2 linked regions of the Oreochromis niloticus genome follow. The protein of the gene in region 1 purifies or fractionates together with the protein of each later gene. This does not show direct contact. Links are inferred from orthologs where the notes say so. Each region holds a gene or a part of one and is shown in the gene's direction. Other genes may lie near its edges.

What was found.
Region 2: the proteins of dr1 (region 1) and kat2b purify together in Homo sapiens (affinity purification with mass spectrometry; 3 studies listed by BioGRID and IntAct, with this or other methods). This does not show direct contact. The link is inferred for Oreochromis niloticus from reciprocal best matches to the Homo sapiens genes DR1 and KAT2B.

What each region holds. Positions count from the first base shown.
Region 1 is NC_031986.2:31,174,932-31,190,187, reverse strand, and holds dr1 (protein Dr1), read left to right. Parts: upstream 1-9,541; 5' UTR 9,542-10,231; coding exon 10,232-10,451; intron 10,452-10,573; coding exon 10,574-10,737; intron 10,738-11,604; coding exon 11,605-11,751; 3' UTR 11,752-12,808; downstream 12,809-15,256. Other genes in the region: scinla (scinderin like a), read left to right, coding at 1-111, 189-322, 1,204-1,294, 1,855-2,025, 2,122-2,296, 2,384-2,499, 2,641-2,718, 2,813-2,873 and 1 more; zgc:109982 (retinol dehydrogenase 8), read left to right, coding at 5,215-5,311, 6,085-6,246, 6,345-6,524, 6,601-6,694, 7,075-7,258, 7,343-7,573; protein wntless homolog, read left to right, coding at 13,015-13,120, 14,058-14,321, 14,418-14,542, 14,633-14,788, 14,897-15,033. UniProt on the Homo sapiens protein: The association of the DR1/DRAP1 heterodimer with TBP results in a functional repression of both activated and basal transcription of class II genes.
Region 2 is NC_031985.2:21,840,824-21,856,894, forward strand, and holds the start of kat2b (histone acetyltransferase KAT2B), read left to right. Parts: upstream 1-9,084; 5' UTR 9,085-9,576; coding exon 9,577-9,777; intron 9,778-10,639; coding exon 10,640-10,766; intron 10,767-10,860; coding exon 10,861-11,006; intron 11,007-11,097; coding exon 11,098-11,184; intron 11,185-11,285; coding exon 11,286-11,467; intron 11,468-11,558; coding exon 11,559-11,750; intron 11,751-11,917; coding exon 11,918-12,021; intron 12,022-12,146; coding exon 12,147-12,272; intron 12,273-13,105; coding exon 13,106-13,239; intron 13,240-14,189; coding exon 14,190-14,398; intron 14,399-14,490; coding exon 14,491-14,617; intron 14,618-14,716; coding exon 14,717-14,827; intron 14,828-14,939; coding exon 14,940-15,083; intron 15,084-15,185; coding exon 15,186-15,300; intron 15,301-16,071. Other genes in the region: ras-related protein Rab-5A, read left to right, coding at 4,471-4,636, 4,862-5,013, 5,129-5,251, 5,742-5,835, 6,269-6,384. UniProt on the Homo sapiens protein: Functions as a histone acetyltransferase (HAT) to promote transcriptional activation. Has significant histone acetyltransferase activity with core histones (H3 and H4), and also with nucleosome core particles.

The sequences.
Region 1 (15,256 bases):
GGTCGTATTGCCAAGGTGGAGCAGATTCCCTTCGACCCATCCAAACTCCACAACAACCCCGCCATGGCTGCCCAGTATGGCGTGGTTGATGATGGCTCTGGGAAAGTTCAGGTACAGTAACCAACTTGACAGTGTTTTATTTTCCTTAAAAATTAATAAATAAATGCAACATTGGTGGATGTCTGCAGATTTGGCGTGTGGAAGGAGGCGATAAGGTAGCAGTGGACAAATCCACCTATGGACAGTTCTTTGGAGGTGACTGTTACTTGGTGCTGTACTCTTACAACAGTGGAGGCAGAGAGAAGCACATCATTTACACCTGGTGCGTAAAACATGCTCAATGTGGCAGAATTGGTCTTTTAAGGGGTACAAGGCAAAGATTCCTGGCTTGGTACTCACTTTCTCTGTTTAGGTGAATGAAAATTGTAAGCATGATATAAACTTGTCACACAACACACACAGAAGTAAAGCCACTGAGTTGTAGAGCATACTGGTCTTTGTAACAAGATTTTTATTCATGAAGGGTTTGGGTTCGATATAGAGAAATTTTGCTTAATCTTCAAGCACTCTTTAATATGATGCAGAATTCGTAGATGAACCAATAAATGCAAGTTGATCAAAGCTGGTGGGATTGTTTGAGTTGCAGGCATGTTAGGCAGGGTTTATACACATTGACCCATTAATGACTCTAAAATCCTGGGAGGAGACAAAAATCCCCTTTGAGGTTGCTGTGGCGACCCCTTCTGAATCAGCCTAAAGCAGTTTTAATGTTTTTAGAATTAAATGATTGCCAATATTAATATAATCTGAGAGTGGAATGCAAATGTAACAAATTTCATCACATCCATTCTGTCTGTCTGATGGCATGAGAGAGCACTCGCGTGTGGACATTTATCTATTTTCATTCATCTATTAGTTAGAAAGGCTTTTCAGTCTGGGTCATATGATGATGCCACAGAATGAAAACAGTTAACAGTTAGAGTACTGCTGAAATTTCATGACATTCTGATAAGAAAACAACATTAATGATTTCTTAAACTTGTGGTAAAATAATAAAATATAATTGTGGGTAGTCAGTTTATGTATTTAGTGTTTTTGTAAGCTGTGTGAGGGTGCTGAGAGAATCAAGAGTTTTTGAAACATTACTTTTATACCTTAATTGTGAATATCATATTTAATTGTGCTTAATTTTGCTTGCTGTAGGCAAGGGCAGAAATGCACTCAGGATGAACTGACTGCTTCGGCCTTCCTCACCGTCAAGCTGGATGATTCCATGGGTGGAGTAGCAACACAGGTAAGAGTTAAAATGTTAAGAAATAAAAGTACCTGGCAACAGTTAGTGAAAGGAATGATGCAACTCTCAGGTCCATCTTTTATATTATGAACAAGAAGCAATAAAATACACAACACACTTGCAAAATCATTCACATTAACAGGCTTTTTTTTTTTCCATTTTCAACCAACAAATCATTAAGTTGACCTTGAAGACTTTGGTGGATTTAAACCAGATTTTAATGGAGTGTTAACATGACCCCATTCAACACACCTACAAAGTTTTTTCAGAATTCATTCAAAAATGTTTAAGCTATTGTGTTTACAAACTGACAAAATGACATGCATGCAGACGCTACCCAAAACATGACCTCCTTGGCATCTTGCAGCTGTTAGCTTAGTATAGAAATTGGAGAACAAGAGGTAGGTGGATGTTTTTAACCTTCATACAGAGGAACTGCTGTCGCCTGTTTTCAGTCTTTACCCTGAGCTCCTATTAACCAGCTCCCAGCTGTACTTAGAGATAAGTCTGGGATCAGTCTCCTCATCAAATTTAATGACTGTGTGGCTGTATCTCCACAGGTTCGGGTCACTCAAGGTAAAGAACCCCCCCATCTTGTGAGCTTGTTTAAGGACAAGCCCATGGTCATCCATCAGGGTGGGACATCCCGCAAGTGTGGCGAGACTAAGCCAAGCAGCACACGGCTCTTTCATATCCGCAAGAGCGGCAACAATACCACACGAGCTGTTGAGGTCAGCCTCATTTATTACACTGAACGTTAATAAACTGGTTCTTTATAATGAACAGATGCCACCACTCCTCCCTATCTTGGTGTCGCACCTACACAGGTGGAGCCCACTGCATCCTCTCTGAACACCAATGATGTGTTTGTGCTGAAGACTCCTGATTGCCTTTTCCTGTGGAAGGGAAAGGGTGCAAGTTCAGATGAGATGGCTGCAGCTAACTATGTTGCCAGCCTCCTTGGAGGAACTGCTACTGGGGTGGAGGAGACACAGGAGCCTGGTAAGAGCCGGAAGAGCTTTGATTTCCACAAAGTAGTACTTGTGAGATGTCCCCAGTAGAAAACTGTCCTTTTCTCCTTGTTTCCAGCTGTTTTCTGGGCTGCTCTGGGTGGTAAGAAAGAATACCAGACGTCCAAGGCCCTTCAGGGAGTGGTCCGACAACCACGACTGTTTGGATGTTCAAACAAAACTGGCAGGCTAACAGTGAGTATTCAAGTGTTCATCAATCAGATTTTTTTTAATGTAAGTAGTTATATTTATATAAACAGATATATTGTTTTCTTACCAACTAGTTAAACAATTTTTAAATGGCCACTTTGTAACTGTGTGCTGATCAATTTTCAGGTTGAAGAAGTTCCCGGGGACTTCTCACAGATCGATCTGGCAACTGATGATGTCATGATTCTGGACACATGGGATCAGGTATAAAAGCACTTTTGATGAAACACTCGAGTTGTGGCTAGTTTATGTTTTCCTCCTTTTGATCCTTGAGCTCTTTGGTTACTGTTCCCATCAGATCTTTGTTTGGATTGGAAACGAAGCAAATGAAACGGAGAAACTTGAATCACCAAAGATGGGTAAGAGAAAACTATTAGACATGAGAAGGAATTACAGAAATACAGCAACAGGGTCAATTCAGGGAGAATAAAAAATTATATAGAGGGAATCATTTTCCCAGAAAATAAGGCATGAATTATAGATATTCATTCTGAGAGCAAATATATTTTATTTGAGATAACTATTGTAATTTTATGAGTAAGGAAATGACCAAATTTACCTAAAAAACAATTTCTTGAGATTAATTTTTGAGATTGAGTTACAAATTTACAAATTTATTTTCTCAAAAATTTGACTATAATCTCAGAAATTTAAGACTTTTTTTCTCATATTATGTTGTTTGTAAATTTCTTGATTTACTCTCAGAGAATAAAATATTTTTGTTGGACATTTAAAATTGTAATCTTGCAAATTTATGACTGAATAATTGTAAAGAATATTAAATAATATTATTTTACATTTATTTCTAAATTTACCACCCTTCTTATAATTTTAGCTCCAATTTGAATTAAACTATAGTGAATGGCCCTTTAAGGCTACTGTACAGAAGAGACCTCAGTTCACAAATATATCCTGTTTTCCTTTCAGCCAAACAATATGTGGATTCAGACCCCTCTGGCCGCCGTGGTACCCCCATCACCATCCTGAAGCAGGGGGAAGAGATCCCGTCCTTCACTGGATGGTTCCAAGCTTGGGACCCAAAGATGTGGTCCCAAAATCTTTATGCCCAGTAGAATTTAATAGGAAAAAACACACATTTTAAGCATCTCTGAAAAATCAGGATAGTTTTGATGTTTGACGTTTTGTTGACCTTAAAGCATAAATTGACACGTAAGATGGAACTTCTCTGCAGGTAAAGTGCAGATGCAAATATGTGCTTAAAGCTGTGGTGCAGGTTAAAACGTTACCCATCCGATTTCCAACCCATTTTTTCAGAGTAAAACAAAAAATAATCATATTTAAGCTACTGCTTAAAGGTTTGGAGTCACATCTCTTTGAAAGAAAAAGTGCATTGGCTTTTACAGAAAATAACATTAAAATTTTCATAAGTGTTATAGAAGAGAAGTAATGATTAATTACTGATTTTTAAGGCAATATCTATGTAAGTGCATTCAGGCCCTTTTCAGCAGCTGTCAGTGCTGTGTTCCAGCAACATGTGTAAGTTTTTCCTTTTCTAATAAATGAAGGCTGTTTGAGGCTATAGGAGAAAATGACCAGATAACTGAAATTTTCATACAGCAGCTTTAGGTATTCTCATGACAAACCAACAAAATTTGGCTCTTAGAGATACCATTTAATGACCCGTGAGGCGTCTGTTTTGGAACCAAAAGGTTCTGATTTAGCTGTCCTACTCAGTTGTGCTCTCTAGTTTCCAGTCAGAGCCACTTATTCCTGTTTTGTGAAAGTAGTACACGTTATTTTTTTGTTTTGTTTTCTTGAGACTATAACCAAACTTACTGACAATAATGCTTAACTCAGCTTCACAAACTTCAGACGAGATGATTGTAACTGAATGATTAATGAAATTTAATGGGATAGACTTGCTTTAGGTGACTCAGTGTGCTATTACAACAGATGAGTGGCAGTTGGTTAAAACGGGCCTGTGTGTGTCAGCATAGATATTAAAAAAACATTGTTCATGTTAAATATTAATAGCATTTCTCATCAACTTGACTTTGATTTTCAAAAATTCTTTTTTATCTCAAAACTTTGAGCAGTAGGGTACATATTAAAAAAACTGAATTTAATAATTCACAGCCCACAGTAAAAAAAAAAAAAAAAAAAAAAAACTATGTTGAGAAAGTTTTATTTGCTACAGCAATGAATGTTTTTTTTTTTTTACATCTACTTTGAAAAACCAAAAAAACAAAACAGCCCACTACATTGTCTAGGTTAAGTGTGGCCTTAAAATGTACTCAAAATTATTTTGAAAATGTGTTTTAAATAGATTCTTTTAAAAATCACAAATGAACTTCTCCACATTTTTACAAAAAATATACTTTTTGCTGTCTTCATTGCAAAAAAATTTGTGGGAAATTCCAAATTTAAATAAAATATTTCACCATTGTCTGATTGTATTTTATTTTATTTAAATAAGATGATGCTTATAGGTCTGATATTTTCTTCATATTACATCTGGACTTATCATTAGCCTAAATCCTCACCATGCAACAGCACCATGTGAATGCCACGAATGATACTAATCTTCAGACCATATGCACACAGCTTTTTGCTGAGTTGTAAACCTCTGATTAAGGAAGGGGCTTTAAAAGTGCCCGTATGTGGCCTGCTGCCTCTCCTCTTTTGTTCTCGTTTTATTCTCTACTGCTGGAGCTGCAAGAAAAGCACTAACCAGGCACGATGAACCAGAAGGTGGTACTCATCACCGGCTGCTCCTCTGGGATTGGCCTCGCATTGGCTGTCCATATTGCAAAAGATGAGAAGAAGAGGTTCATGGGTAACTTTTTAACAGACTTTTTCTAAGATAGCTGGGGTTGTTGACTACATTTCAAAACCCTGTGTCAGGAGGGATCAAAGGGAATCAAAGAAAAATATAATGTATTCAAATTGTGATTGAAAATGCTTCAAATGACAGAAATTAGAGGAAATATGTGGAAAAAAAAACTAGCACATAAGGGTGTAAAACATAATGGTGTTTTTCTTTTTGAATTTTTTGGAAGTGTGTAGGATGTTTTAAAATATTACCATCTCACATGTACTTGAACTTTACTTGAACTTTACATGGCTGCTGTGTCTGGCTCAATAATTTCTACTATGAACACTTTGCAGACTATTCATTAAAGTTAACTGTGTAAATGTAATACCATTTTGAAACCATTCACTAGAAAGATATTTACTTGATCAAATTCACATTATTTACATTATCAATATGTAATGGGTTTCTTCTACAAACAAAATATTGGTAAGTTCTTTTTTTAAAACTCTGGTTCCAGAAACAATCCACACAGCTCACCATCAACAGTTTTTATCTTAAACGTGTTTTATGGAAGAAATGGTCCTCCTGGTCTGTGGATTACCCTGAGTAACTATTAACCATGTCGTACTGATGTAACAGGCAACACCTGAAAGATGAAATCTGAGAAAAATCCACATTTGCCGCTCCTGGTGGAGATAAATTGTGATAGTTTCTCAAATGTAATGTAAAATTTTAATTTCAGTTCTGAATTCAATAAAAACACAACAGCTTCAGACGAGTTTTTGTTGTTGTAGTCTATGCCACCATGAGAAATCTGAGTAAGGCTGAGCCTCTGGTTGAGGCAGCAGGTCGGACCCTGGGCCGGACCTTGGAGATCAAGCAGCTGGACGTATGTGACGAGGCTTCCATCAAAGCCTGCGTGGACAGTCTGCCTGAGCGCAGGGTAGACATTCTCAGTAAGCTCCTACCATTTGCTTCAAAACAGTATTAATTTGGCTTTTCGACTGTCTATGGAAATTTAAATGATATGTGTGTATGTGACCTTATTTCACAGTAAGTAATGCTGGGATGGGTCTGATTGGACCCATTGAGTGTCAGTCTATTGAAGAGATGAAAAGTGTCATGGACACCAACTTCTTTGGACTTGTGCGATTACTAAAGGAAATCCTGCCCGACATGAAGAGAAGGAAAAAAGGTCATATTGTGGTCATTAGCAGCGTCATGGGGATTCAGGGTAAGAGCTGCTTCACCTGCTGATCACGAGAACATTTTTTAAGACAGTTGCTTCACAACTTCTTTCCCTGTTTCAGGGATTTTATTCAACGATATCTACGCAGCATCTAAGTTTGCATTGGAAGGCTTTTGTGAAAGCCTAGCGATACAAGCCCTGAGGTTTGGTCTGAAGTAAGATACTAAGTCTATAATGTTTTATTCCTGTTCATCTTTTACTGGCATTTTTGTGAGAAAAAAAGTGCAACAAAAACTAAACTACCTGAAAACCAGCCCTTGCATCTGGTATATTTGTGTAGTCATATTGCACAACAACACCTACCCCTTTCTGCACCATTAGGAGGAAAATATGCAAACCACAGCACACTGTGATGTTTAGGCATGTTCTAACACAGTATCAAATGGTAACTGAATTTTAGTGTGGTTTCTAAAGTTTCCTGTATAATGAAAGTAATATTTAATTACCTTTCACAGTTGTGCACTGAACTCAAGTTTCCTATTTCAAGAGATTTTTCCATGTTTTTTAATGTTCTTCTCTTCTATTTCTTCCTCAGCATCAGCCTGATAGAGCCAGGTCCAGTGATAACCGAGTTTGAGCGTAAGGTTTATGACGAGGGCCTAAAGATTGATCTCAGCAAAGCAGACAAAGTGACTGCTGACATGTTCACAAATGTCTACTTAAAGAACTACAAACAGATCTTTGAAACCCTCGGACAGACTCCTGAGGACGTGGCAGAGGTATCGTTCAGCAAATACTTCACCTTTAACCTTTAATGCACTACAAGAGCAATAAACTATATTATGAATGATCTTTCTTCGTAGCACACCCTCAAGATCATCATCATGGACAATCCCCCTTTCCGGCACCAGACAAACACTCTCTATACCCCTATGACCACACTCAAGTACGCTGACCCAAATGGTGACCTCCCGATTGAAACGTTTTACAAAATGGTGTTTGAACACGACAAGGTCTTCACTGCCAGCCTGAACTTCATCAAGCTTTTGCACTGGAGAAGCCGAAAGAGTTTTAAGTTAGAGAAGAGCAACTGAATCATGTCATATCTTTGTTATTTTTGTGACATGGGCATATTTGGCTGTTATTGTCTAGCAGTGTTACCTCCCTGAAATAAATAAAGCTATGAAATGCCATGACAATGCAGTCTCTTTTCATACGTGGCAGTAAGCTCCTGCAGGTTTAAACCACACCCTGGTGCATTCAAGTAGCATAACTGTCTTAAGTTGACAAGCCCTTGAGCCTTGTGTCATATGGGAAGCAAGCAAAGTTATACGAACAGCAAGATTAAATCAAAGTAAATCAGGTAGTTCGGAGTTATAACGACTAATTTATGAACTTTTTTTGTCTTTTTAAAAGCATTGTTTTGTTAATGGGTTCTGTTACAGTGTCAGAAGATTATGTATATCTTACATAATCTTAACAAATTTCCCACGTGTGTGACTAATAAAGGTTATCTTATCTTATCTTAAGCTGCTGGATTACATAACATAATTACTCATGGCTTAATCTGGAATATAGCCGTTGAATTCTGAGTCTCGCACCACGTGGACTTTAATGTGAGAAAACTTTTATGTATTTATTTTTTGTATGATATTGACAGGATTTGGTCAGAAAATTAAGCATGTTAGAATATAAAAAGAAAATAACAAAATAAAAGCTGGTATTCTCTTGGTGGACACTAGATGGCAGTAAACAATTATTAGGAAATTCAAACACCTGTGAAACCAGTCTGGATGCTGCTGAATATTGATAAGTCTAAAAATAAAATTGCAGAAACAGGGCCATAAATTACTGTGGCTCGAATTTGTTTCAGCAAGATCTGTGCTTGTGCTGAGAAAATATACATAAAAAAGCATTAGTAGACATGTTATCAGACGTACCCTTCCGGGGAGGAGATCACAGGGTTAAAAGAGATGCTCTTGATAATTATGTTTACCATAGGAGGGTAACATACAGTACTGTACAAAGATACTGGTTCACTACACGAACCAGTGTTGTGTAAACACATAACAGACAGCTTAGCAAAGAACCCATTCTAAACTGTGTCTTTAGGCACTTTGTTACTAGCAGCCTGTCGCCAAAGCACATAATTTGTTTCCATTTCTTTAGCTGAATCTACAGAAAATACCAAAGATAACACAATTTGACAGACATAAAATAGTGTTGTTGCACCAACAATGTGATTCCCAGTGAACTATTGGGCGAAAACCTGGCATATTGCGGCACTGTGTGCAGTTTTTTTTGGTGATAAAACTGGACAAGTGGAGGACAAAAGAAGAAGTGGAAGGTCTGAAAAACTGTGTACAGCAGATGAAAAGTCTCTGGAAGTCATGTCCTTAAGTAATACCGTCCAAAAAAATCCAGCAAAGACTATCAGTTGATCCATGAACAGAAGCTTCATTAGAAAAGGTTTCACTGGAACTATGGAAACAGGGAGAAATGGCTGAACTGGACTGAAGATCAGTGGAAACAGGTCTTATGGAGTGGTGAATATGAAAAACAAACAAAAAAAGTGAAATTCAGGAGATAGGTACAACCATGAGTGTCTAGAGTAATCTGTAAACTATAGTGAAGACTCTGTCATGATTTGAGTTTGCCTTTCAGCCAGTGGTGTACAGGATTTCTTCAAAATTGATAGAATTAGAGTCGGATTTTGATCTTCCACACAATACCATCTGGAAAGCACCTGATTGGCAACAGCTTCATATTTTAAAGATAATGTAGTAAAAACATACCTGGATATAAAACTCACACAATCATCTATGGATTGGCCTCATCTTTTATATTTTGGAGGCGAGGTGCATATGGGATGTGGTCCTCTGACTGTATACGAAATATTACTGTAGCTACCATCAAAATATATAGATAATGTAAGAAAGTACATATTCAGTTTATTTGTTTTGTTTTGTTTTTCCAGCATGTGTATTAATTCCCCAAGCATATGTTTTAAGGGCAGTAATGGACGACAACTACCACAAGGCCACAGCAATGCGACTCGAGGGGATTCAGACAGGCTTTAAACACCAAAGAAGAAGAATGGTATCCGGCTCTTTGTTTGACGTTGCATCCGGACTGAATCAAGCTAATGTTGCCCACATTTCAAACGTATAAAAGAATCGATACCATGTTTCTGCTTATCTGAAATGTCCGAATCATCTCTCGATGCAGGATAGAACAACAGGCAGTGTTGTGGCACGTGTGTCCTGTTTCTGTGTCTATGCAGCTAACTGTTTAGCCATGCGGGAGGCACTTCATTGTTAGCTTAGCGGTAGCCATGCTCTCCGCTTTCACTTGTTTTTTGCGTTGCGGCTTTCTGGCGACAGGGACCACAGCTACTAGCTAGCCTGGCTGCTAGCTAGCTAAGCACTTTTCACACAGTATTAACCTTTTGTCTTCTTTTTTGGTGTATGTGCTTTAGCGTTTTCTAACGGTTTCTTTTCTACCACATTCCTTACAAAGGCTCTACTCTGCGGAAATTGTTTCAACTATTAGCTAATAGCTAAGCTAGCCGGCTAACTTGGAGGAAGCGTCACTCTCCTACATGACATTTAACTCTGTGTTGACGTTGTCTTGACCTGACCGTTATATTTTAATTCTGCCGACACGAGAAGGCCTCCTAACAGTTTCCTTCCGTCGAGAATCGGAGTTGCTGTTTCTTTTTTTTTCTGGTTTCTGTCCCGTCGTCTGCCACGATGGCTTCTTCCTCTGGAAATGACGATGACCTCACCATCCCGAGAGCAGCTATCAACAAAATGATTAAAGAAACTCTCCCCAACGTACGGGTGGCCAACGATGCCAGGGAGCTTGTAGTTAACTGCTGCACAGAGTTCATCCACCTCATATCCTCAGAAGCCAATGAAATATGCAACAAGTCGGACAAGAAAACCATTTCCCCAGAGCATGTCATCAACGGTGAGTCCAGCTTTGTTTTCCCTGTACCCTGAAAGGTGTGTGTATGTGTGCAGCACCATGTAATGAGCCTTAAACCACAGAGAGTAATTAAAACACTTTCGCCTCTTGCTTTCGCACCGCAGCGCTCGAGAGCCTCGGTTTCGCATCGTACATCACGGAGGTGAAAGACGTGCTGCAGGAGTGTAAAACTGTTGCCCTGAAGAGGAGGAAGGCCAGTTCGAGACTGGAGAACCTGGGCATCCCTGAAGAAGAGCTCCTTAGGCAACAACAGGAATTGTTTGCAAAGGTATGATTTTGAGAGAGGCGTCACAAGAAACAGTAGCTCAGGGAACTAACTTCCATACCAGGTCATTTAGTCTAACCCTGAGGGGCCTTTTAATAATTAAGTTTAAAAAACAGCAAAGACATAATAAAATGATAAAAAGCAACTGTTAGAAAATGTCCAGGTGCTTCCAACAGCCACTGAACTGAGCATAGCTGTTTTTGAAGTTATGACTAGAGGAAATCATTTTGTGCTGCTTTCAGAGCCCACGAAAACAGTGGAATTGAAAATGTGAATTTATTGCTGCCAAACTGTGTTCTAAAAATAATTAAACAAACCAGCACAAATATGATTGCTCAGAAATGTTATAATAAACAAAATTATTGGACCAGAACTTCACATTATGTAGGGATCTGAGTTTTGATGAAGTAGGTCTTTTGCGATTGGTCTTTTGTTTTGTGCTAAGTTCCTTAGGAAATGAGTAAGCCTTTAGAGAGAAATACAACAAAGCCATGTCCGATTTAAATCATCTGTGTGCTGAGTGGCTGTTACACATAACCACTTGAGGCACATTATTTGCACTATACTGTTCACTAATGCATGACAGATCCATTTAGTTAACTTTCAGCAGTACTTTGCTAATTATTAACTCAATCCCTTTCTAGAAACAAGTATAAGCAAGTATAATTCAGCGATAGTAATATGTTGCAGACACTTTATTTTAATTTTTTTTTCCAATGTTCAGTGCTTATAATGACATACCACGAAAATGTCTTAAAATATTCAAGTTCTAATTAAACATCAGATATCAACCACCATGAGCTTCTCTAATTGCCTGATATAATCCTCATTCACCTTCGCCTGTCTCGTGTCTCTCTTGTGTTTGTGAAGGCGCGACAGCAGCAGGCAGAACTCGCTCAGCAGGAATGGTTGCAGATGCAGCAGGCCGCCCAGCAGGCACAGATGGCGGCAGCATCTGCCACTGCTGCCCAACAGGCCGGTTCCTCTCAGGATGAAGACGAAGAGGATGACATATGATCCCAGGATACTGTTCAGCTTGTCCGAATCCCTTCCTGGGACAGTGTTGGCGGGCAAACCTCCCAGTGCTGTTGTTGACAGAGACTTGAGATGTGTTTGACCGCTGGTGCACATCAGTGACACAAGGAAAATGCACATTTGGTATTGACAGTGGAGATGGAGTTGGAGGGGAATGTCAACATGATGATACCAGAACCTGAAATTTGTTTGGTTTGAAAAGCTGTTAATAAAATTTTGATTATCCCCCTGCCCCCCCCCCCCCCCTTTTTTAAGTTACTTCCGTTTAATTAAGTCTTGATGTTATGTTGTGAGTAATTTGTAGATTTCTGGATGTACTGTGGATGCACTGAAGGCACATTTCACTGAAGTTTGGTGATGGTGCAGCAGGTGTTTGCTCTTTCAGGTACTGCACCAACTAGCTTGTTTATGTCAACCATAGTGCTAGATAACAATCAGTGGTGTAGGCGAATCGCTCCTGACGACTCCAGAGCATCTAATTCCTCTTCTCTTGGTCTTTGCCATTTTGTCAAAAAGGGTTTTCTTTACCCCTCTGTGGAGTTATTTGTTCGACAGTGGAAGGATTGAGGGGCCGTGAATATTGAAATTGTACTATTAAATAATGAAAAATACATTTTTGTTTTAGCTTATTCAGAAACGTTATGTTGTTTCCTTTCTACCTTGAACTACACACAGTATTGGTTCTTAGCTGCACCTTTGAAAAACTGAATATTTTTGTCTGATAGAACCAAAGATAGACTAACAGCCCAGAGTTCGTGTTTTGTTTTCTTTTTAAGGTGTAGGTGCTACTGTGATTCTCATTGCTGACTCCAGATCAGTGTGAATAATGTTAAATATTATTAACCTATAACTTTGTAAGACGCTTTGATATCGAGGCCAGATTTGTTATTTCCCCTTTCCTTGGGTGCAGTATCAAACATTTGCATTGTGACTGTGGTCAATCCTCAGTGTAAAGATAAGTAACCTAGTTGTGATACACATTCACTTGCCTATACTACAAAGTTGTATTCTTTAAGCAATAAAGGAATCATGTTTTATAGACCAGTGTTCTCTGATCTTTTTAATGCCTAATGATTCCTCCACCTGTCCCTTTTGCACATGCTCTGTTTGAGCCTCATGTCTGGCGCATCCCATATGAGAATCAGATGTGTGTGAGCAGGTAGATGAGCTTCAGTGGAGCACTTGGCTTGTCTGGACAACACTTTCTTTTTATATATATTTTTTTTACCCCAAAATATCTCACAAATGGCAGGAGCGATCATAGAGAAGATGAGCACTAAAAAGTTGGTTTTATTTGTTTTCTTCATTTTATTATTCCAAATATTTTCCATCTTGGTTGGAGCATTGATATGTAAGTAGATGATTTTTTTTTAAACATTTTTAAATTTATTTGCAAATAATGTTTTCTAATAATTATTTGGGGTAATTTATCTTATTTAATCTTTGTTATGTGCATTTAGATGGGCTTATATGTTACAGCACTGCAGATTCTACTCAGCCAGCCAATGAAAGCTGGCAACATTCCTTTAATGTTCTCAATGATTTCCTCACTGTTTTCAAATTTGTACCAAGTTTCTTATTTTTATTGTTTGTTCAAAGTGTCTTTTAATTTTTAGAAATTGAACTAAAGTACCATTCTTTTATAGAAAAAAAAATTCAAGCTGGGTTTGGTGTTGTGGTGTACAGGCATGTTTCTGTCTAAAAATGATTACAGTATAATTTGTCTCACTTTTTTCACTTTCATTTACTTATATTTTAATTATCTTTAGGAACCAATAAGTAATTTTAAGTACTGGTAATTACACCCCGAAATCAGAAGAACTACATGCTAGATGTTACAGCATAGGTCGTGGGCTCTATATTCAAATTTTTACTGAGACTGGAAGATCTGCATGAATTGTTTATAATAAATTTACAATGTATTCTAAAAATTAAACATTTATTAAATTTAAATTCTTGATTGCAAGCAGTTTAGCTTGTTTCTACACCTGGGTGAACAGTTTTGCATCTTGTATTTAGAGTTTCCTTATTTAATTATATTTATAGTTTTCGCATGGAGTTTCTTTGCACATACTGTATATTTTTTATTGTTTGTGTGCTTTTGAGCTACTCAGCTTGATTGTAAATGCAGGATAGCCCTCAATGAATTCAATTTTAGGAAAATTAAGTCTAATTCACGATATTTTTGTGTTGGAAGCGCTCTGAAAAACAAATTTTCCCAATGCTCTTAATGATTAAGCTTTAGTCTGTCTTTTTTCATAATATATCTCTGATTTCTTTTACGATAGCTCCCAGTCCTACCACTGCAATCCGCTACTTGGCCACCAAATGCATCAATTTCCACAGGACACGTGCTTGGCTCATGCCATGGGGCTCAAATCGATGCCAGCAGGTCCACAGTTTTGACGACCCTTTGGCAAAAACGCTCGATGCTAACGACATTGTTTTTGCTGTGCATGTACCCCTACCCAACACTGAAATGAGTCCGTGGTTTCAATACATGCTGGCTGTTCTGCAGTTTGACATTGCATTCAAAATGATAAATCAGATTGGTAAGACGTGTCTTGTCTTTGTCAGAAATGTAAATAGTGTAGTTTCCTAGTTGCAGTGGGTTTCTAATAAAATGAGCAATTTTCCTGCCTGTGTAGAAGATGATGTGGTCATCACTATCGATGCCCGTCTGGCATACAGGGACGACATGACGTCTGAGTGGACCACAAAATTTCACTCGGTGGAGCAAAGGCCACTCAGGTGCACATTTGCAGTATCCAAGGTAAACCTGCATGACTCCATGTTATACACAGAAATGAAAAATTGTTACATTTTTCTTTGCTTAGTGAGGAAAAACTCAGTGTTGTTTCAGACGTATGAAAACGAAGGGCGCTTTTATCACTGTGACCCCATACCATTCATGGAGCTGGGAAGCGTAGCCCACAAATATTTTTTAATGAACCTGCGTTTGCCAGTGAATGACACAATGAATGTTGGCATCGGGGAAATAAAGGACATCCATGTAGTGGTGAGTATTTACACGTTAACTTCTGTTATACGGCATGTTGTGTTTGAATTAATCTCCAAAGGCTAAAAATTTTGCACTCTAACATCTGATGACCCTCCTCTTTCTCAGGGTATCCACCAGAATGGAGGCTTCACCAAAGTGTGGATCAGCATGAAGACTGTGTTCAGTCCCTGGATATCAGTGGCTACAGTTTGGTACTGGTACAGGATTAGGCTCTTGGCGAGACCTCCGGTCCTTTTGGAAAAGTATGTTTTGGCTAGCATACATGTGGAAAGAGAGATTAAGAGTGACATTTTAACATTTAAGTATATTTATGAATTTTATGTCATAATACTGAGTTGAATTTTAATCATTTCTCAAATGATACAAAACAATGTAATAATACTAATAATATTATTACTACTACTGCTATTACTACCACTAATAAGAATAAGAATAAGAATATTTAATTTTGAGCACTTTAGGTTG
Region 2 (16,071 bases), on another chromosome or scaffold:
ATGACTTGTTATAAAATGTAGCTCATCGTTAGCACAAGATAAAAGCACACAAATACAGTGAACAATAAATAAAACGTGCTGATATGGCCTTATCCGGAAGAGAGGGTGGGGCTTCTTCTTCTACGCCAAAGATAAACTCCGAGATTTTCTCTATACCGCCACCTCTCGGTATGTTGTGTACTACAGTTCCAGGCTATCTCGGCACTAGGTTTTTTATTTTAATACATTTTTATTAAATATATTTTATATAAATATATTTTCTCGACACGTCTCGTTCATTTAATCTCATCTTTATCTAAGAGTGGACAGGAAAAAGTGTTTCCTCTTTCTTCGTATCTTGTTTTTAGATCTTTATCACTGGTTTGCAACTTGGGGAATAACGATAACCCTGTGATACATGAGAAAGAAAACAAAAACTTTGAATATGAGGGTTAGTGGTTATACTGAACAAAGGATGTTGAAGGTGGACCTACCGGGAGGGAGGAGAAGAGGAAGACCTCAGAGGAGATTTGTGGATGCAGTGAAGGAGTGAATACAGAGGGCTTTTGTGACAGATGAGGATGCTAGAAGTAGGGTGAGATGGAGGCAGATGATCTACTGAAGGGAGCAGATGAAAGAAGAAGAAACGCCAAGAAGATCCAGTGGGTTTAAAATAGATTACATGCTTCTTTTCAAAAGGGTATAACAATACTTGTCTGTAAATATTAATTTCAAATTAAAGGAACAACAATCTATGTGACTATTAAAATGCCTTTGTCCTCGTGACAAGGTCACCTTTAACCCAAGATTCCTATAGAAAAAGGTATCTATATTGTACCGAGTCTATCTAAATATCAGCTGTGCCTGATTCCCTTTTGTTAAATTACTGGGTAATTTGATCAAATACACATGAAAATATTATTTGTAATTTTTATTATTATTAATGTCTGATTTTATTTGTATCTCATTAAAAACAGATACCGAGATCTGATCCTGGAGGGCAGATCATAGTCAAACTTTATATACACCATCTGCCTGTTAGCGGGCGTGTCGTGTGACGTGGCACGGGGAGCGGAAGAGCTTGTTTGTGTTTTGGTTCTAAGGGGAAGTTGCGAGAAGAAAGAAAGGAGGAGACGTGACAGGATTGTTGAAATTATTTTCTCGGTCCCCCCTCCCCTGACACCAGCTCATCACACTGTCCCAGGTTCTGTGTGCGAACTGCAGCGGTGCTATTTAAAGTTGTACATCGCCTGGCTCTCAGGTAAAGTACTTGTCACGAATCGACGAGTTGTGGTTTGCAGCTGGCTCGGTGACATGACGCCGCCGTTTGTTTAGTTGTCATCGGTGACTTCGTTAGTTAGCTGTGTCGCTAGCTAAGTGCAGCTGATGTCGATGGTGTTTGGTGGCACAGGGGATGCAGAAATGCGGGCCTTTGTCCTGTCGAGTCCGCTTGTTCTCTTGTATACCAGTAGCAAATGGCTAATAATGTCTGGTATAGCAGGTAGCATGGCAGGCTTACAGTGACTTTGCTAATAGGTGGACTGGGTTCAGTGGGTCTAATGCTAACAGTGACAGCAAGCTAACGTTAGTGTTTGTTAATTGAGGGGCTCAGCTATTCCCCTTGAATCAACATTAGCTAAACGGCACAGGCAATCAGGGTTTCAATTCGAAAGAAAAAAAAAACTATGGCGTTAGTTTTGTGCAGATAGCTGTCGTGTTGTTTTTATGTCCTTACAGCAGTTCGGAGACTAATGACACCAGACAGCTAGGAATGCTAAGCTTTGCTAACAAGCTAGAGAACAAAAACACTTTGGGGAAAATGGCGGCCCCCTCTAACATCAAAACAGACCGATAGCCACTGCTAACACCGAGCAAGTGTGTTCATAGTCAACTAACGAGGGTTAAAGCCAAATATGCGCGTCGCAGTCATGCAATGCGCAGCGTTTGCTGACAGTCCGTGTCATGAGTGTGGGTAAATACGGTCACTGTTCTCATTCCAGTTCCTGGAGCATGTTTGTTTTCTTGCTGCGCGTCTTCAAGACTTCGTCTCAAGGATGAGTCGATTGAGATAAGGTTGAAATGTTTTGGCATGACCTCGCCGGTCAATTTATTGACTCGTTTCCCCAAAGCTCTTTATTTGAAATACACCCAGAAATCTGGTGGCTAAGGTAAAGGAAATCTTTACCTTATATGAATGCCTTCAGACTTTAGTGTTGCGACACAAGTAAGAACGGTTTGCCACAGATGTGGGTTAGTGACGCACAGGTTCATAATGTGTGTGAAAAAAAAAGTAAATGTTATTTATAGAGCTCATTTTGAAATGACTGGAGTTGTCCACAAGTGCTGTACAGGCACACTCATTTTGTAATCCAAGTCTCAAGAACAATTACAAACATGGAGCTTGCATAAACAGGGAACATAATAAAATATAATATTTAAGAAAAGAAATCAGAAAACAACTATGTTCTACCAATGCTAAACAGTCAAGTAAAACAGTAGTAGAAAACATTTACAGTGTGTTTGACCAAACCCTGGGGGACCTGAGGCTAGACTAAAAGCAGCTAAAACAGATATGTCATTAGAGCTCATCTAAAATGATCAGTTGTTGAACCAGTCCCCATGAGCCTAGGGGCAATAACCGCAAAGTCCTAGCTGACTGTAGTTTTTAGGCAAGAAGGGGACACTGAAAGAAGAAGTTAGGATGATGATGTCAGGGATTTGGAGGCAAAAATATGGTTACTTTATAGACTGACTTGCCTGTTTTTGCAATTTTGTTCAGAGTACATTTATAGCTTTATCCTCTCAGTTATCTTGCAGTTTATAAGAACATTATAAGCACGTGTTAACTCTTAACTTATATAATTAAGTAGCACTTTTCTACTTGGAGCAGTCTCAGCTACTACTACTCGTTCATCCAATCACACATAAATGCATACAAGTGCTTTTTTTCTTTACCTAAGCACCTTTTCTATCATTTGCACACACTCTAATTCACAATGGAGGCATTGCAGGCAACTCAGGGTTCAGTGCTTTCCCCAAGGATACTTCAGCATGAATACTGGAGTATCCGGGGAATCTATCCCACAACCTTTCAAGCCACAGCCACTGAAATGTGTCGTATGCTATTATGTACAGCTACCTTACAGTATAATATAATTCAGTACAACATCTTCATAAACTGCCATTGAGCCTACAGCCACCACAGATTAATGCCTCTCCTCAACAGAGTGTGACTTGTGTGGTTAACAAAGGTTGCTTTGTGCTTTATTGCACTGCACCATATATGTGAGTTTGATGCGAGGCGAAAGGCCAGTTTTTGGTCAGGCACAAGATTCCACTAAATTCACCCTGTAAGGTCAGACATAAGCCGTGATTATGTCCTTACAACAGCCGTCTGTGTTTTTTTAGAAATTCTGAGCTGTTCATTCCCAAATAAGTTAGTAAGCACTGCATGCACACATGGTATGCATGCATGCATGCAATGGTTCTCGCAGTTGTACCACACTTGAGTAATCTGGGTGGGTCTTTCCCCGGCTCTCTTTTGAGTTTGCCACGAATCACTGTTGTAGTTCATGACAAGGCTTCCTTTTCCTGGTGTTACTGTAAGTTACATTCATGAAGAAGTGTCCTAAATTTGGCCTGTCGAAAGTCGCACATGCATTCAGAACAGGCCTTTGTATGTTTGAAATGCTTGCAAGTTATTTTTACTGACTTGAAATGTTCACAGAATAATTCATTTATTAGCCTTATAAAATTACATTTACAGCCATAATTTGCAGATAAAAAAGATAGCTAATTGATACAGGCTATCATTTTCTATGCACTGTGTATGAATTATATTGGAATATATTTGAATTTATTGATCACATAAATATCTTCATGTTGCCTAAACTGCAGTGTGAAAACCACCTGTTTCTTTGAAACACTCTGTGTGGGAAATCCTTCTTAATTCATAACAAATTGAAGTGATACCAGTGGGTGAATGCTTGACTTTGATGTATGAAAGTATGAGTGAGAGATCTATCAGTTTTTTCTATGTAGTCTGCTCTGATGAACTTTCATTGGCCTTTATATCCCAGTCAAAATGTCAAAAGATTACCAAATTTAGTTACTTTTTTCTAGTAGCCTATTCATTAGTCTGATTCTAGTTTTCATAAGAGTTGTAATTTTAATAATGATTTTCAGAGGAAGCTGATCTTATAATTATACATTTGTTGCATGATTTCAATATATGAGTAATGCTCATTTGTCTTAAATGTCCGACTGTCATCTATACAAAAGTAACTGTTCCATTCTTGTTATGACTTGTTAAACTGCATTGGAAGGGAAAAGCATATTAGCAGAGGTTTTGTTACATTTGTTTGAAATTACAAATCTCTTAGAGTTTAATATCTTTTTTTACTCTGTGAACATGTTTGTTTTCGTGCTTCCTGCAGCAGAAGTCCCGACAGTGAGGTTCAGCACACAGGATACCTGGGATCTGACTAGGTCATGGCCAATCGAGGAGGAGCTACGAGACCCAATGGACCAAATGCAGGGAATAAGATCTGTCAGTTTAAGCTGGTGCTGTTGGGGGAATCGGCTGTGGGGAAGTCCAGCTTAGTGCTTCGCTTCGTCAAGGGCCAGTTCCATGAATTCCAGGAAAGCACAATAGGAGGTAAGGTCATGTCATCAAATCAGGATGTTTCTGACAACCTGACAGTTCTGTTTTTTTTGTTTTGTTTGTTTGTTTTCCTGAGAAGTCCCCATTCAGAATTTAGAAGACTGATGCTTTTGTGTTGACACATTCACAGCTCTGTTGTTTATATGACCTCGTAAAGATATAGTTTTGGTGTCGTTAATGATCACGCATAAAATGACTCATCTCTTCCTGTCTCCACAGCGGCTTTCCTAACCCAAACAGTGTGTCTTGATGACACAACAGTGAAATTTGAAATCTGGGACACTGCAGGCCAGGAGCGTTACCACAGTTTGGCACCAATGTATTACAGAGGAGCACAAGCTGCCATTGTGGTCTACGACATCACAAACGAGGCACGTTCATCCTTGACTAAGACCCAGGCCTTCCAGAGCACTTGTAGAGCAAGTTAAAACATGAAAGTAGCATTAGATGTTGACAAGTGGTACCGTGTCTTCATTTGTTTTTCAGGAGTCCTTTGCACGGGCCAAGAACTGGGTGAAGGAGCTACAACGACAAGCTAGCCCTAATATAGTCATCGCTCTGTCAGGAAACAAAGCTGATCTGGCCAACAAAAGAGCTGTGGACTTCCAGGTCAGTCTAGACAAACCTTAGACTGTGTCTTAGGCTTTGATTATTTTACAATTTTTATTTATTAATTAATTTATTTTTAATCTAATATCTCTGTGACCTTTCTGTGTGGAGTTTGTATGTTCTTCCTGTGTCTGCGTGGTTTATCTCCGGGTACTCCAGCCTCCTCCCACAGTCCAAGCACATGTAGTTAGTACAGTTATTTAATTGGTGATTCTAAATCGCTCATGGGTGTGAATATGAGTGTGAATGGCTGTCTGTACCTCTCTGTTAGCCCTGCGACAGGCTGGCGACCCGTCTCCAGCCCTACCGCAAAGTGGAGTTGGATGAGGGGAGGAAAATAGGTGGATGGCTGAATGATCACATTCGAAGCGGACGCTGCATTCTAGAGCCACGACTTCCATTTTTAATTATCCTCTAATTGTGTTTCTCCTATGCCTGAAGAAATGTGTGTTGGAGAATGTTTTGAAAATTGTTTACATTGTGTCAACAGGACGCCCAGTCCTACGCAGATGACAACAGCTTACTTTTCATGGAGACATCGGCCAAAACGTCTATGAATGTGAATGAGATATTTATGGCCATTGGTGGGTAACTTTTAGGATTCAATTTGTAGATATTTGTTTTTCTGCACATTTCTGTTATTCAGAGTTAGAACTGTTGCCTCATAGCAAGAAGGTCATGGCTTCAAGCCCAGTTTAGGGCTCCTTCTGTGTGGAATTTGCATGTTTTCTGCTTGCCTGAGCTTTCTACTGTAGCTCCAGTTTTCTTCTACTGAAAAACACACAAGGTTTACGACGCCGCTGTTAGGCTTGGACAATCACAAATTCCTAAAGGGTTTCAGTTCCTGCTTTAAATACGAGTTAAAAATTAACTGGAGGACAAGGTCAAACTAGTATGATTGATGTTTTTTTGTTTTTTTTTGTTAATGTATTTTTTTTTTTTTTAATCATTTGTAGCTTCTCTTTCCTGAAAATTGTTTTATTATATGTTTGTTTTTTTGTTTTTGATTTCTTCCAGCAAAGAGATTGCCAAAAAATGAGCCTCAGCCTGCAGGAGCAAACACTGGGCGCAGCCGGGGAGTGGACCTGACAGAAGCTGCCCAGCCAGCCAAGGCTCCATGCTGCAGTAACTAACATGAAGAACACCCTCCTCCCTACCAACCTGTATGGCAGTAACTAATGTGGTCAATGCCCCAAATGCCACTGCAGTTACTAATGCAATGTGTCATCTACTCTCTGAAACAAGAAAATATGCCCTCCGCTCGCCACCCCACCCATCCACTTTTAACAAATTCATTGCCATCACACTGATCTTTCTTTGCAGCTCTGCCTCTTTTCCTCCACTATGGTTCTGCTGCTACCCGGGGAAGCCTCCTAACCACTTTGTCTTACTTTCTGCCATCGAGCTTGTTACATCTATCGTATTATTGATAGATCAGTGATAGCAGATATTAGAAACATTAGAGCACCCTTCCTCGCATTGTCATCATCTTTACAGCGTGTAGACACGAGTTTCATCTGGAGGAAGTGATCACTTCTCTTTTCTGGGATAGCTTAAGTCTTTAATATTGCATTTCTAATACCAGTCTTCTGTTTTTGTTCAATTTTTTATAACTTTGTTGATTATTGTTTACTGTAATTTTGTCAAACTTGTGGATGCAAATGCTAGCATATTTAGACGGCCTAAAAGTTAAAAAGAGTTACACATTTAATCTGCAGTAGAGCAGAAAAAGTTGGTTGGAGGAGTGTGTTCTTGTTAGTCTCAGAAAGAGGAAAGGTGGAGGGCGCAGAGAGAAACTGTAGGTTCTGTCTCTCTTGTTGTTTCTAGGGCCCTTTATCTCGTAGCTGGGGGAAAAAAAAGAAGAGTTGGTCCTTATAACCCCACTCCCTCCATTAAACCCAACGTAGCACTAGTGCATAGCTTCTCACACCACCTTGTCTCCATTCTGGGCCCGTGCCTGCTCATAGCTGTCCTTCGTGGCATTGTGCAATGTTTCACAGTATTTACTCTGTGAGTTGAGTTGTCTGCAAGGGCCAGTGCTGCGCAGCAAATCCCCTTGTGTCTACAAACACAGCGCAGAGGCCTCTACGGTACACGTCAGTGTCACCACCTGCCCACCTCATGATGTGTCCGTCCATAAACCTTGTGTAGACCACCCTTTTGTTGTCATACTGCGGTCTCTTGGGTTTCTGCTTTTCAACGATTTATTCTTGTGCGAATACTTTTTCCATTGTGTCAATGTTGCTCGACTGCTGGGTTTGCACTGGGGGGTAAATCGAAGGTGATAGCAGTGAGTGGGGAGTTGCAATATGTAAAGTTGCTTCTTAATTAATATCGGAATCATAAATGTTTGACATCTTCTCTCGATTAGAAAGTGCTTTAGACACGGCGGTGTGTCATTCTGTACAAAGCCCGGCCCGGGTTTGCTGTCTGGTGACAGATCACATCCTTCGACTTATTCACACGCATTTATCCGTGTGTTTTGTTGTTTTGGGGGTTTTTTTTGAACACACATTTGCACAATTAAACACACACACGCCACTGACTTGTCGTCCCCCTCCCAACCTTCCCCTATTCCCTGTGAGACCTAAACATCACTGTACATGAACACACACACTGTCTGTTACACATCATCCACACCTTTGTCAAGCACACACTCTGTCCCACCGACACACAACCCCCCTTATTGTTACACACACGCACGCACACACACACACACACACACACGCACATAGAGTACTTTTAGTAAATAACTCTTTTTACAGGTCTGTCTTACTCATGCCTTGCACTAATGATGCTCATGAATATATCTTGTCATGATTTCAGCCAGTGTGATATATAAATATATATATATAAATATATAAATATAAATATATAAATAATATACTGTAAATAAGGTGTTGCAGTGTAGTCTACCTTTTTTCAATTTACCAATGACAGGACTAATGCTTGCTAGGGAGTTGTCTAGATAATCATAAAAAAGTGTACAGTTAGCAGGAAGGAGAAAAAAAACAGCTACAATCTGGGTTTGGAGTTTTGTTGCTGTTCCTTTTTTTTCTTTGTCTTTTTTTTTTTTTTTTTTTTTTTTACACATATAAATGGTTAAATTATAATCAGTGGTGGTCTTTATAAATGTATCTAGTGTTTATTAACAACAACAAAAAAATGAAATTGCATTTATTTAGCCATCTGTCTTGTACATTTATGTCATAAAAAATATATCCAAACGTTTTTTTTTTTTTGTTTGTTTGTTTTTAATATTATCTCTTTACTTTACACTTCTCCATTTTTTTTTTTTCTTGTCTATGCCTTGTCCAGAACTATTCCTCCTCCTACTCCTCCCTGTAAGTAGACGTGAGCTTTCAGAGGCACAGGTTGTAAAACTCCAGAGGAGTCGGACACCACGCTGCACAGTTTTTGAGCTTTCCTCCGTCTGTCCTCCTACATCTCGGTAACATTGTGACGATAATTGTAGGAACAGTAAAACAACTATCAGCTGGCACGATGGCGGTTTATGAATAGATGATTTAACACATAATAGGGATGCAAATTGTAATTTTTTTTGTTTTGTTTTGTTTTTGCAGTGAACACTTATTTGCAGCCGGAAACATTTAAATGCAAGCATTTTACAGTACTGTTATGTAATGACCAAATAAATACTGAAATAAATTTGATCATTTATTATTGTAATCAGGCGGTGTGTATGTGTGCGTGCCTTTATTTCCTCTGGACCTCAATAGCTTTTTTTTTTTTTTTTTAAACTTTTTACGTCTACCACTCTATATATCTGTTTGTTTTGTCCTCTGGAGGTTATGACCTACACCTTTACTTGCCTCATACTCATCATGAAACTGATGAAAGCTTCTAATCATCATCAATCCTGAACTTTAACCTTTTTTTTGTTGTTGTTGTTTGGGTGAGCATCCTTAAGACATTTCCATATGTTTACTGATATAATGTGAAAATATTTTTAAGGGTCTATAAATATATTTCTAAATAGTGTTGCTATTCATTTCAGTAATTTTTCAGTATAGTCTTGAAAGTCGCCTGTGCCTGACTGAAGGTATGCATCCACTTTTTTTCCCTCCCACCATGTTTGACCTTGAAATTTTGCTATAAATGGTTGCATTTTGTGACCTCTCCTCTTTGAATTGTTGTGGAGTTGGCCTATCCCATGAAGGTCCCCTAGCGGAGGAAAATGGGCCTACAGCGAGAAATTGAAAATAAGGATGAGCGCCATGTCTGATCCTCCGTTTGTGGAATAGAGCGGACGGCGCAGCGAATATTCCCCGGGCTGGCGGTCCCTTCGGGTTTCGGTGGGAATCATGGCCGACAGCGCTGGGATTCAGCAAGGTTCGCCGGCCATCGGAGCCGCGGGCCTGGTTCCGGCCGCTCCTGGAGCCGGAGGCACGGAGGGCTCCGGCGCCGCTAGAGGATCCGCACGTATCGCCGTGAAGAAGGCACAACTACGCTCCTCGCCTCGGCCCAAGAAACTGGAAAAACTCGGAGTATATTCATCCTGCAAAGTATGCCACATCTGCAAAAGCAGGGCTTTGAAGCGGGGTAGTTTTCGGGGCTCATACTTAAAGTGTGGTGCATTTCCTGGGCTTGGTTGCAATAGTTTTCAAAATGCAAGCGCAGCAAAGGAAGCCATTGCCGCACTTGAGTTTCTTTTTTTTCTTTTGCATGCATGAACCACTTACTGAAGAGGTAATACTAAAAAAAAAAAAAATCTTGACACGTTAAGTGTTTTGGAGGTTTTTTTTACATCTGGACTTTTCAGCAGGGGCCTTGCAGCTGCAGCCTGTTACAGTGTTACTGTTTCTGTCAAGGTGGGGGGTTGGTGAACGTAAACATTGGCTTGACGCTGGTTTTGGGAGTAGCTGGCTGTGTGCACAAGGTCTGGATACGCGTGTGTGTGGTCGTGCACGGTCTCGTGTTTCCACTGGAAATTTCACAGCGTCCCCGTGCAGTCCGTCATAGCAGGGGGGGTAAACAGAGAGGAGTTTATTGGGCTTATGCAGCGTATGATCCGCAGAGAGGGACGGGGTCTTTGTTTTGACAGGGTGACAGCTGCTGGCGGGGGCGGAGTTTGTTGTTGTTTCAGGGCGCATGCTCAGAACAGCACCTTCAGCTGATCGTGTTCCCGCCCCCTGTTACTGTAGACAGTCGGGCATAACTTCTCTTGTTTGACCTGAGAGAGCCTGGAAAAGCTGCAGTTTGCTTTTAAGATATTTATGGAATAAAAAAGCAAAGCTTAACAAGTTGAATGGTTCTCCTTAATTGTTCAGTATAATCTGCCCCCATTTATTGCTCACTTGCTGCTTTTAATGTAAATACTGTCGTGTTTGTGCCTGCTTGTACTAATTTAACCTCTATTTATTGCAGGCTGAAGGAGCCTGTAAGTGTAATGGCTGGAAAAGTCAGAATCCCCCTCCTACACCTCCTCAAACAGAGCAGCAGTCCAACGCAGTCAACCTCCAGGAGCCCTGTCGGAGCTGCTCTCACACTTTGGGTAAGTGGGCATGCCCACCAGAGAAGCTGCATCAGAAAATAATACCAAGAAGGGTAAGCTAGATGAATTTCATTGGCTTATTTCTTCTTTCCAGGTGATCATGTGACCCATCTAGAAAATGTTTCAGAGGAGGAAATGAACAGGCTTCTTGGTATTGTTCTGGATGTGGAGTATCTGTACACGTGCATTCACAAAGAGGAGGATGCTGACACTAAACAAGTCTACTTTTCCCTCTTCAAAGTAATTTTACTGCTTTACACTCCGTTTGAAGCAAGGTACAGTTTTCAGATCTCGCTCACTTTAAACAAACGCCATCTTTTTCCGTTGTCAGCTGCTGAGGAAATCCATCCTGCAGATGGGTAAACCAATGTTAGAAGCACAGGAGAGTCCGCCGTTTGAAAAGCCCAGCATCGAGCAGGTAGAGAAACAAGTCTCCACTGCACAGACTCTTTCATCCTCTGATCTTTATCTTAATTTTGATGTATTTGTTCTTTCTTTTACTCCACGTTTTCAAAATAGGGGGTGAACAATTTTGTCCAGTACAAATTCAGCCACCTGCCATCTAAAGAACGCCAAACCATTATGGAGCTGGCTAAGATGTTTCTCAACCAGATCAACTACTGGCAGTTGGAAACGCCCTCTCAAAGACGCCAAAGGGTGCCCAACGATGACGCAGCTGGATACAAAGTCAACTACACTAGGTAGCAGAGTAGACAGATAATCTTGTGCCTGCCTTTCCTGCACCAGTACAGTTACAAGCTGTAAGATAATTATGGGATATGCTTGTTCCAGATGGCTCTGCTACTGCAATGTGCCTCAGTTCTGTGACAGCCTGCCCCGCTACGAGACCACTCAGATCTTCGGGCGGACGCTTTTGCGTTCTGTCTTCACTGTGATGAGGAAACAGCTGCTGGAGCAGGCCAGACAGGAGAAGGACAAGCTCCCTCCTGAGAAACGCACACTCATTCTTACACACTTTCCCAAGTAAGAGATACAGAAGGCTCACATGCAGTTAGCCACACAGGCCTTCAAGTAGCTACACTCTGGGATGTGCTTCACATCCTCAGTATGAAACCAGACTGTAGCCACTTATGTAAAGTTGACTGCTTGTTTTAATATAGTTAAGTAGTTGTTGTGATTTCTCTGCTCAGGTTCTTGTCAATGCTGGAGGAGGAAGTTTACAGTCATAACTCTCCAATCTGGAGCCAAGACTTCTTGGCAGGGGCAGCAGGAGGGCAGATTCCTATCCACACAGGTGACACGCCCTCCCACGCACCTTCACCGAAACGCCTCTCAAGATGACACTTGTTTTGTTTTTTTTTAAGAAAAGGTTAAAGCCTATGACTGAATAAATTCAATTCCCTCTGTGTCTTTTTGTAGTTATAAGTGCTGCTTCAGTGGCCAGGCCGCTGTACTACAGCACCAGTCCCGTGTCAGTAGACCCGTCCACCTGCGGCAGTGTCAGTCCTGCCAGGAAGGCAGCTTCTGTACTGGAACCAAACCCAGGTATTGCTGACAAACCTGTTATTACTCATGAGGTTTCAGTTAAGCCAACTTATTGCGTAACAGTGCAACAACAAAAAGTGTGGACCTGAGTGAAGTCAGCCTTGTTTTCCACATTTAAAAGTAGAATAGAATAGAACAGAATAGAATAGAACAATCCTTTAATTGTCCCACAAGGGGAAATTTGGTTGTAACAGCAGCCAGAAAGTGCAACGGTTCCTACTTTACAGCGAGATTACTCAAGTCAGCCGTCCTTTAAGATAGTTTCTAGTTTTGGAGATTCTTATGCTTTTAATGTAACGCTGTTTTAAGTGCTGCCTCTAAGATCTGTCATCACATGAAGGTGAAGTAAACCCCAGAGCTGCTTCTAACAAACAAGTACATATAGGTTCAAAATGAAGACTGAGGATAGGAGACTTCAAATGTCCGTCACTTGTTTACCAACCATACCAACAGTACCATATCACCCCAACAGAGCACTTTGCTCTCAGACTGCAGGTTAACTTGTGGTTCCTAGGATATGTAAAAGTAGAATGGGAGGCAGAGGCTTCAGCTTTCACACATCTCATTCTGTAGAACCAGTTTCCAGGATTTCTGTCTCCTGCTTTCTTCTTTTTCCCTCTAACACCAGTCACAACAGATGGCTGCCTCTCCCACAGCCTGGTTCTGTTGGAGCTTTCTTCCTGTTAAAAGGGAGTTTTTCTATCCCACTGTTGCCAAGTGCTTGCTCAGAGGGGGTCGTCTGATTGTTGGGGTTTTTTCTCTAATATTGTTTTTACCTTACAACATAAAGCACCTTGAGTAATGAGAGCTTTCCTCTGTGTACACTCCCCCAGCTGGAGAAAAGCGTAAACCCTCTGAGCCCCTTCCCCATGAGGAAAACAAGAGACCCAGGGTGGTTGGTGACATCCCCATGGACCTTATCAATGAAGTCATGGCGACTATCACTGATCCTGCTGCCATTCCAGAGGTAACCCATTATTGTTTAGTCACAGCATGGAGTCCAATTAGTTGGAAGTGAATTTAATCTTCATATGAAAAGTAGTAATTTGGGCTAAAATTCTATAATTTCTATAATTATAGCCCACCTATAAGCTGTTTGTCAGAAACTGTATCAGAGTGCTCGTGAGGCCTGATGATTTCCACTTCCTCTTCATGTATAACGCTCTCTGTTATGTTATCTTTGCCATGTTGAAAACTTAATCGCGAGCTTCATATGATTTCTGAAGCAATCACTACGGCGCGGTGTCATGTATGAGTGGGATAATATAACGGCCCTTTTTACAGCTTCTCCTGCTGTTGCTGTATGTGACAAAAAGTAAAAGTGATAAGACACCTTCAGGGTAAACCAGTGCATATCGCTCCAGCTTCTGATACACAGCCGTTTTCTTGAAACCTTTCTGTCAGTCAAGATGCCTCACATCTGTAAATCAAGTGAAGACAAACTAAAATGGCCCGTGCTCTCTTCTTCAGTTGTTTTGGGGGTTACTCCTAGTATATTTTGAAACTGGCATCACCTGCAATGCTTTTCATTTTGACTCAAGTCTTGGATTTTTAAGAGAAATAAGAAGGCACTGCAGATTTGCAAAGGGCAGTTATGTAATCTTCACAGATACCATCCAGACCCGAAGCCTCTATCAGATTTTCCAGGCTGACACTTTATAACAAGAGTAAAAAGAATTAAAGTCATTAGATAATTGTAAATCTTCTCATCCTTCCAGCCTAATCATTTTCCTGTCAGTGTCAGATCTCATGGTAATTGGTCTTGATCTCCTTCCAAGCTGCCATAATGTGTCTGTATAGCACTTCATTTATTTTTTTAGTCGTAGGTTAATTGTCCCTGCACAAAATGTTCAAGTCCTCTGCACATCACAGCAAATTTTGGACCGTGATTTATTTGATACCTTCCTGTCTGTGCAGACCAGCCTGCTATCAGCTCACTCTGCACGTGACGAAGCCGCCCGCCTGGAGGAGCGCAGGGGCGTGATTGAATTCCACGTCATTGGGAACTCCCTAAACCAGAAGCCCAACAAGAGGATTTTGATGTGGCTCGTCGGCCTTCAGAACGTGTTCTCCCATCAGCTTCCCCGCATGCCCAAGGAGTACATCACGCGGCTGGTGTTCGATCCGTGAGTGTAACTCTGCCTCATCGTCACACCTTAAGTTCAGAAGTGCTATAGAAGCAGATTCCCTCTGTAAAATTCATCTTTTCTTCTGGCAGGAAACACAAAACGCTGTCCCTGATCAAGGACGGGAGAGTGATCGGAGGGATCTGCTTCCGGATGTTTCCATCGCAAGGCTTCACAGAGATTGTCTTCTGTGCCGTCACCTCCAACGAACAGGTCAAGGTGAGAGCGCGCCCAGCTTTATTTCTCAGCTTGGTGGGTATTCAGTGATATCTGGATGGCTGGCTCTAACCCTTTCCTGGCCTGACTGTGTGGTTGCAGGGTTATGGAACACATTTGATGAACCACCTGAAAGAATATCACATAAAGCATGAAATCCTCAATTTTCTCACTTATGCTGATGAATACGCCATTGGGTACTTTAAGAAACAGGTAACATGGTTCTTCTTGGACTGTGATAGATATTTACAATAATATAATAAATAGAGGCAGAACTGCTAGCGCGTGGCAGCTCCAGGATAAATTATTACTTCCTCCTTATCAGGGTTTCTCAAAAGACATAAAGGTTCCCAAGTCCAAGTATGTGGGCTACATCAAGGATTATGAAGGAGCCACACTCATGGGCTGTGAGCTCAACCCCAGCATCCCCTACACCGAGTTCTCTGTCATCATCAAGAAGCAGAAAGAGGTGTGTGGGTGACTTTTAAATCAACTCTTTAACATTTTATTGGTCTGAATGCTTCTTTCTGTCCCCTCAACTAAGATTTTTTTTCTCATTTGTTGCCTTCAGATAATCAAGAAGCTGATTGAGAGGAAACAGGCTCAGATCAGAAAAGTCTATCCAGGGCTGTCCTGTTTTAAGGATGGAGTCCGGCAGATTCCCATTGAGAGCATTCCTGGCATACGTATGTTATTCTTTTTCAGTGTTGGGTAACCTTGGCCTTTAAAAGTAGCTTGTTACATTACAAGATTATTGCCATTAAAAAGTAATGATTGCCATTACAGCATTAAATGCTGATGAAAGTAGGCCACTTACCACATACATCCTGTGCAATTAAGCTGTCCAACTTTTTGGTTATATTATCTACTGGGTTTTTATGGGCTTTGTCGTACATCTACCTCTATAATCACCACCAACTTTGTTAATTTCCTCGAAGCGACAGGTTAAGCAGAACTGAAAGCTAATTAATCAAATACTTTTGGGATTTAAAATCTGTTCTCTACGAAATCTGGATGGGTGGTTATTTTCTGTATGTACGGCTACCAGCCAAGGACTAGAGCAGGTTGCACGTGAATGCAAGAATTATGATGAATTTTTTGAATTTGTTTTGTGGCAACAAGACAAGCAGTAATTGCAATGTCACTACTTTATATCCACGTCCATCTTTTAAGCTATTGTCACACAAGAAAAACAGTGGTTGGAGACTGTAGGGCAACCAAAATTATTGCACTCAGCTCGCTATGTGGCTGCCTTTGAAGTGGTTGCTTTGAAGAAAGGAACCAGATATTAAACCACTTCCAGTCAGCTGCCATCTCTATAGAAACATTGGTGTGTCAGGACAGTGAGAAATCCGCAATAAGACTGAGTCAGCATCATGTCTGCTATTGCAGAGACTGACTGCAAGTTGTTTAGAGTCTGTTTTATAAAATTAGATGGGAATTCATTGCAGATGTTT